Rattus norvegicus: one gene and its partner. The protein of the gene in region 1 interacts with the protein of each later gene in a pairwise test. Links are inferred from orthologs where the notes say so. Each region holds a gene or a part of one and is shown on either strand. Other genes may lie near its edges.

Evidence for each region. The genes of interacting proteins can lie anywhere in the genome.
Region 2: the proteins of Siah1 (region 1) and Peg10 interact in binary tests that used the Homo sapiens proteins (3 or more experiments, as listed by UniProt). The link is inferred for Rattus norvegicus from reciprocal best matches to the Homo sapiens genes SIAH1 and PEG10.

What each region holds. Positions count from the first base shown.
Region 1 is NC_086037.1:36,572,559-36,576,199, forward strand, and holds the end of Siah1 (E3 ubiquitin-protein ligase SIAH1), read left to right. Parts: intron 1-1,303; 5' UTR 1,304-1,305; coding exon 1,306-2,154; 3' UTR 2,155-3,215; downstream 3,216-3,641. UniProt on the Homo sapiens protein: E3 ubiquitin-protein ligase that mediates ubiquitination and subsequent proteasomal degradation of target proteins.
Region 2 is NC_086022.1:33,807,721-33,811,966, forward strand, and holds the start of Peg10 (retrotransposon-derived protein PEG10), read left to right. Parts: upstream 1-1,305; 5' UTR 1,306-1,513; intron 1,514-4,246.

The DNA of each region.
Region 1 (3,641 bases):
AGGGAACCCACAGGTTCAGGGAGCTCTTTGTTCAGCCCCACCCAGCGTTTGATCTTCTGTGGTTTTCTCCACTTCTTATATTCCTTCAGTCTTCAGATGAACGCACTGACTGATGGGAGACAGAAGTGATACCTGGCTGCCTTAATAAAAGACTGAGTAGACGTCTGCAGGCAGATAACAGGATGGCAGGGTTTCCTTCCCCTGTGACCTCTGAGCCCATTCCCAGAGCACAGTTCTAGTGATGATGCTGTTCATGCTGGGAAGAGTTGACCCGGCTCTAATGGTCTTTGGCATATGAACTTCATAGGACTAAAGCAGTAGGTCCTGAAGCTATGAGCAAACTCAGACTTGAGAAAAAATAGATGGAGGTGGAGACTCGGGAAAAAAGTCCAGCCCAAATAAAGTTTATATTGTAATTTAAGGTTTTCTTCTTTTAAAAAAGATTTGTTTTTATTTTATGTGAATGGGTGCTTTGCCTGCATGTCTATCTGCTCATAATATGTTTGAGTGCCCTGGCTGCCTCTAATGAGCAGCCATTTGGGTGGTGGGATTTGAACACTGGTCCTCCGGAAGACCAACCAGTGTTTTTAACTGCTAGGCCATCTCTCCAGTCTCCAGCCCTGTATTTAATTTATATTCCTCCTCTTCCCCTCCTCTTCCTCCTCTTCCTCCTCTTCCTCATCCTTTCCTCCTCCTCCTTCCTCCTTCCTTTTTTTTCTTCTTCCTTCTTTCCTTTTCTTCTGCCTCCTAAATGTTGGGAGTTAAAGGCTTGTGCCATCTTGCCCAGCTGTATTTAAGTTCTTAAGACAAAGACAGTTTTGTAGTTCTTTATTGTTTAGGAACTTTTTTGAAATTAGGTCTTCATATGTAGTCCTGCTTGGCCTGAAACTATGTATGCAGACCAGGCTGACCTCGAACTCCCTGATCCCCACCTGTATGTGTGTCTGCAGTGCAAGGGTTAAAGGTGTGGCCACAATGCCTGGTGCGATTCTTATTCTGTGTAGTCCACCCAGAGATTTCCACTGCTTTAAGAACAAAAAAGTATTTTAAACATGCTGGAGAACATTTTGGAAATACAGTTTACTCATTATATAACTCCAGAAAATTAACCTTTAGCGTTCAATTTTTATTTTATTTGTATATGGATTTAAAACTATATTTACTTAATTTTATTCTTTTATTCACGATAAATTTTGTGGTATGCTTTACAAGTATTTATGACATGTATACATACATATCTACTAATGTGTTATATTTGTAACTTTCCCCCTGCTTCCTTTTATTTTCTTGTTTTCCTTTACAGAGATGAGCCGTCAGACTGCTACAGCATTACCCACCGGCACCTCAAAGTGTCCACCATCCCAGAGGGTACCTGCCTTGACTGGCACAACTGCATCCAACAATGACTTGGCGAGTCTTTTCGAGTGTCCTGTCTGCTTTGACTATGTATTGCCACCTATTCTTCAGTGTCAGAGTGGCCATCTTGTTTGTAGCAACTGTCGCCCCAAACTTACATGTTGTCCCACCTGCCGGGGCCCGTTGGGATCCATTCGCAACTTGGCTATGGAGAAAGTGGCCAACTCCGTACTCTTCCCTTGTAAATATGCCTCTTCTGGATGTGAGATAACTCTGCCGCACACCGAAAAGGCAGAGCACGAGGAGCTCTGTGAGTTCAGGCCTTACTCCTGCCCCTGCCCTGGTGCTTCCTGTAAGTGGCAAGGCTCCTTGGATGCTGTCATGCCCCACCTGATGCATCAGCACAAGTCCATTACCACCCTGCAAGGAGAAGATATAGTTTTCCTTGCTACAGACATTAACCTTCCTGGTGCTGTTGACTGGGTGATGATGCAGTCTTGTTTTGGCTTTCATTTCATGTTAGTCTTGGAGAAACAAGAAAAATACGATGGCCATCAGCAGTTCTTTGCGATTGTACAGCTGATAGGAACACGCAAGCAAGCTGAAAATTTTGCATATCGACTTGAGCTGAATGGTCATAGGCGGCGATTGACTTGGGAAGCCACCCCTCGGTCTATTCATGAGGGAATTGCAACAGCCATCATGAATAGTGACTGCCTAGTGTTTGACACCAGCATTGCACAGCTCTTTGCAGAAAATGGCAATTTAGGCATCAATGTAACTATTTCCATGTGTTGAAACGGCAATCAAATATTTCTGGCCAGTGTTTAAAATTTGCATTTGACTTCACAGAGAATAAGGCACCCATCTGCTTGCCAACCTAAACCTCTCCTGGTAGGTAGAAGCTAGACATGAAGGTAAATAAAAAGAAAAGCTGTTAATACAGGAAACAGTTGCATGTAGTAACACTAATATATTTAAAAATAATTCAACAGTAAACCACTGAAAAATATATATACCCAAGATGGGCATCTTTTGTATTAAGAAAGGAAACATTGTAAAATATTTCTGAACTTTGTGTTTGTTGTAGATTGATTGTATTGTTGACAATTTTTTGGGGGTGTGTGTCTGTGCACGCATGCGTGCACGTGTGTGGTTGGTTTTCCTTTAACTGACAAGCCATCTGCGTGGTCATGGGCCACCGCTTTCCCCTTGTGAGTCAACACACAGTGCTGCTGTGGGGTTGTTTTTTGTTTTGTTTTTTGTTTTGTTTTTTGGTGTGTGTGTATTTGCTAATTTTTATTCTAGTTTTTCATTAAATAAATTTGACTTTCTTTTCTGTAATTCAGGTTTTTCTCACTTTTGTACCTTTTAAGTTAGCGTCTTTTTGATATCCATAATTGCTTAATGTCAGAAGTTTGTGTTCAGTACATACTTTCTTTTCCTTCAATCAATTTATTAGACATTTTTAATTCAGCCCTTCTGTGGAAATAGGAATTCCAGAAAGGAAAGGGAGCAGAGCAGCTCGTCGAGGCTGAAGCAAGTACAGGATGGTCTCGCCTCCCGACTGCTGTCCTACGCCGTCAGGTCAGGCTTACTCTCTGAAAGGTTAGCTTAGGGAGTAAACTCTGATCACTATAAATTATAAAATAATCAGGCTTTTCCTCTCTTCAAATGTCTTGGGCAAATCACATGTTTAAATTGGTTCTTGTATTTATTGGTTTTGCAAAAGAGTGCATCATCATACACAGTATTTGTAATTAAAGTAAATCATTTGTTTTTAAAAAAAGGCAGTTTGCAAAAAAATGTTTTTGGTCTTTTATAATTCTCATTAAAAGATTATCTGGCAAATTAAAAAACATTTTAATGTGTTTACTTTAGCTCTAGGTTTTTGTTTTTGTTTTTTGTTTCCCTGGAGCTGAGGACTGAATGTAGGGCCTAGCACTTGGCAGATGCTCTACCCTGAGCTACACCCTCACCCTGTGGCCCTAAGATGGATAAACTCCAAAGGTAGTTTCCTGTTCCGGTCTGTATTTTAGAGCAGAGGATTGTATGCCACTGTTTGAAGTATGTTTTATTTTAAATCACAGAAAAGACTGGACAGCTCTCCCTCCCACTTTCATTCCATTAGGACATTGGGAATATGACTAATTAATGCTGATTATTCTTTTCCTTTGTGAAAAAAGGTGAGTTATTTTATCCTTTCCTAGCTCCAGTGGTGTGGTACTGACTCTGCAGTCTGATTTTCAAGTTTCTAGGCACCAGTTTACCTCCACCCAACTTAA
Region 2 (4,246 bases), on another chromosome or scaffold:
CAAGATTTAGAAACACATAACGGCGCGGGGGTGGGGGGGAAGCCGAGGTCTCTGTGTAAACCTTGTAATCACCTCACAAAGTCCGTAGCTGAAAGCTTCCAAAGCCGGCCAAGAACATTGGAAGCATCTACAGCTGTTTTCAATTGTTCTTGATTTCCCTTCGTAACATATTTAGTAGGGCAATGGGTGCTTTTTGCAGCATCTCCGGCCCCCAGCCATGGTTGACCCTGACCTGAACACCGCCGTTTGGCTCCCAGAATTTCATGATCCTGCTTCCGTGTTCGGTAAAAACCTAAGAAAAATCAGGTTCGCGCCACCAGGAAATACGCTTTAAAAAAAGGCAGGGAGCGGGGTGGGGGTGGGGGCGAGATTCGGTCTTTTAAATGTCACATTTTGGTGGTCTTTCTCTCCACCAGATTCCAGAAAATGAGAAAAGACGTACATCTTTGTGTAAGAGATAAGCAGCTGGCCAGCCATGCCCTTTGCCTCACATCTAGGCCAGAGAGTCTCAATTGTGGGGTAAAGCCCCCACCCCCCCACCCCCACCCCCACCCCGAGGGGCAGCGACCCCCAAGTCTGTTCCAGAGATCAGAAGATGTCCACCACCAGGCTGTGGGGGGGCGAGGTGGGGTACACTCCTTAATGGAAACTGGAGCTGAATTCCTGCCCTGCTGGACAGGGAGGGGCCGTGGGGGTGCAGAAAGAGAAGGCCAGGGGTCAAGCCTGGGGAGGGACCCACTTGGCCCAGGAGGTGGGCTGAAGGGTGTCCTGAAAGAGGGGTGCTGGGGGGGCGCATTGGGCATAGAGCAGGACTAGCACCCTTCGGGCACGCCCTGGTACCCCAGAACCCGAGTGGGGGAGGGTGAGGCGGCGGCCTGTGGGCCCCTGAACCTCCATGTCGCGCGCAGGCCACTAACCTGTCAGTAAGAATGTGCCAGTGGTCGCGGGGCTCATCTTGAGTGTCCCCCGACCCTTTCCCGTCCAAGCACAAGGGTCTCCCAGCTCCCACCACCAGAATAATAGCATTCTTGGCCTGCCTAAGCCGTCCGTCCTCGATCCTCCCCTCCCCTCCCTTTCTTCTTTCCTCCCAGCTTGGCCAGTTCAGCATCGTGCACCCCCCTTCCTGAGCCCATACTGCCCCTAGCGGCGGGCCAAAGCGGTGCATGCCGCGCCCCCACCCATCCCCCCAGGCGCCCGCCCACGCGCCCCCCCTCCGCCCCCGCCAGCTCGCGAAGCACGCTGGGATTTGGCGCCCCCCTCCTAGGATCTCTCTATATAAGGCAAGCAGTCCGGGCTCTCGGTACACGCGTTTCCAACTTCAGTTGGTGTGTGTCGAAGAATCCTGACCAACTACGACCTGAGGAGAGCCACCAACCGAGAAGGTCCACCAAGCTTCGCCAAGGTCCGCTGAGTGGGCTGCGGTCCGGAGCCTTCTCCGGACCGCGGTCACCCAGTGGGCCCGGCCGTCGCCGGACCCCTCATCCTTCGTGTCATCGCAGAGGATCCTCGTGTGGTGAGTATGCGGTGAGGATTTTTTTTTTTTTTACCCGAAAATGATCACACGCAATCCCCGATTTTTCTTCCCAGGAGCTGCGGGAGATAAAGTAGCGCCCCCAGAATATCTCCTCGCGAATTTTGTCACGCCTGCCTTCAGTGGCCGCATCCTGAGACGAGAGCATGGAAAGCAAGTCTTCACGGCTTTGGGTCCGGGACTTCGGTTTCCATGACTCGCGTCCAGCATTGGTCAGTAGACGCATGAGCTGCGGACAGCGATGAGCTGCAGACGCACATGAGCTACGGACCGAATTGCGATGAGCTCCTCAAATGCGCTGCAAAGTGGCTGGCTACTCCGCTACTCTTTGGCGCTTGAATGCCGCGCTACAAACGGATAAGCGCTTTAGTTGCGCTGCAGACGGCTGCTTCTTGCGCTGTGCTGAACTAACGGGCGCTTCATGCGCTACAAAATACTAATAGGCGCTTTACGCGCTACGAAATACTAATAGGCGCTTCATGCGCTACGAAATACTAATAGGCGCTCCATGCGGCACGAACTGATGGGCGCTTCTTACGCTTCGATCGTCTAATAGGCGCTTAACGCGCTGCGATGTACTAATGGGCGCCATGCGCTTCGATGTACTAATGAGTGCTTAATGCGCTTCGATGTACTAATGGGCGCTTCATGCCTTCAGTGTACTAATGGGCGCTTCATGCGCTTCGCTGTACGAACGAGCGAACTGGCGAACGGGCGAACGGGCGAACCGGCGCTTCATGCGCCACAAACCAGCCCGAACTCCAGAGATACACAAACCGACTCCTTGCTTCACGCACTCAATTCCGAGCTGCAGGAGAGTCACAAAATGCAAAAGCGCAACAAGAGTGGGCTTAGAAATGCGCTACAAACTGCGGCAGAGGCAAAAGACGTGCAGACTCGAGCTACGCGGAAAGTAGTGTAGCGTTGGAAAGACGAGAGAGTACAACTCTCTCCTCGGGGAAGAGGCGACACAGGTTTACCTTTCGGATCAAAACGCGTTGCGTTTTCTGGTCAGACGTCCATCTGCATGATGGTGGTGGTGGTAGACAAAATGGAGCCCTGAGAGGCCAAAAATTGGTGTTTAACATTCTGCCCACGGGACTCCTGCTTACGGCAGTAGAGTGGAGGGGTGCTGGATTTTGGAGATGGCAGAATGGGCTGCCTTGTCTAGTGGTGATTGATTGAGGTGACGGTGCAATAGACTCGGGGGCACGAATTGGTGTCCAGCAACAGTTTGTGGAGACAGTCCGGTTTGCTGGGTGGGTCCGAAGCCGAGATGGGAGGTGGGGGTTTGCTCTTGCTCTACGGAAGGAATTTGGTGGTTGGGAGGGGTCGGGGAGGTAGGGGGGCGGGGGGAGGCATGCAGACATTCTGCAGCCCTGTAGCAGCCAGTCTCAGACCTGCCCCGCCCATCCTAGCCTTGTCTCATCTGCAGAGAGGTTGCGCGCCTCGTCTGCGCGCGTCGCCTGTCGCGCGCCTTTCCAGAACATGCTTCCACAGGCCCCACCTCCCGAGTGCTGATGCCTTTGGGACAGCCTACTTAGCCCCCGCCCTCAAGGCCCGCCTCCTCTGAGGCGGCCTGACAAGGCCCCGCCTTTCCCTTAGCCCGCCTCCTCCTAGGAGGCCGGCCCAGGTCCCGCCTCTCTTAATGTCCAGCTCCTCCCATAGCTCCTCCTCTGAGGAGGCCTAGAGCCCCGCCTTCCCTCAGCCTGCCTGCGCCTGCGCACTGTGGGCCGCAGCCCCTCCCTTCAGGTATGCCTCCACTGCGCAAGTGCGCCTCTGCCCTGTCTGAGCCTGGCTGCACAGCCCCGCCTCCCTGCGGTTTCTCTGTTGCGCGGTTTTACTTTTTGTCCACAGGTGTCTAGTAAATATAAGAATAATAAGAATAATTAACAGTCACAATAATAAGTATACCTGGCAAGCAAATGCACTTTTAATAAGTGCATTGCATTATTAAATAAAAAGATCCCACAATTAAAACTCCTGATAGTGGGATATGGGAACTAGTAAGAAGACGTAGCTGATGCCTTAAAGCAATGAAGGCAATTAATTTTAATTTTATTTTAAATTAAAAATTAAATTTAATATTTTCAAATTTAATTATTTTATCAAGACACCATTGGACTTCCTGAAATTAAATGCTTTGGTAACTACAAAGACAGAGGTGACGAGCACTGTGTTTCTTAGGAGTTTTCAGTGGCTTTGGTGTTATAGCTTGGCTTCTGGGAGAGATGTTTATTAGCGTAGAACAGGTTTGTTGTTGTTTTTGTTTCTTAAAAATTCTAGGTGATTGGGCCTGCCTGGCCTGCTTGTAAAGGTGTGCTTGGCGCATAGTAAGGATTAATTAATTGTGTGTTGAAGTCCGAATAAATTATTGTCTTGCTGCTGGCCTTCAGGCTTTTTTGGATTTTTGTGCCTTTTTCCTATGGTGCTTTGCTGTCCTGAGTTGAGTTGCTGCCCCTTTTGAAAACACAATTAAAAGTTTCTTTTTAAAAAAGTATGTTTTTGAACTTCAGTAATGTAAGCTGTAATTATAATGTGAATCAACTAAGTTATATTCCAAATAATTAGCTTTTTTCATAAAAAGCTAATTATTTGTTATTCCAAGTAATTAGCTTTTTTCATAAAAAGCTAATTATTTGGTGTCCCAAGTAATTAGCTTTTTTCATAAAAAGCTAATTTACACTTGGGGCAAGTGGGTTATTAATGCTACAT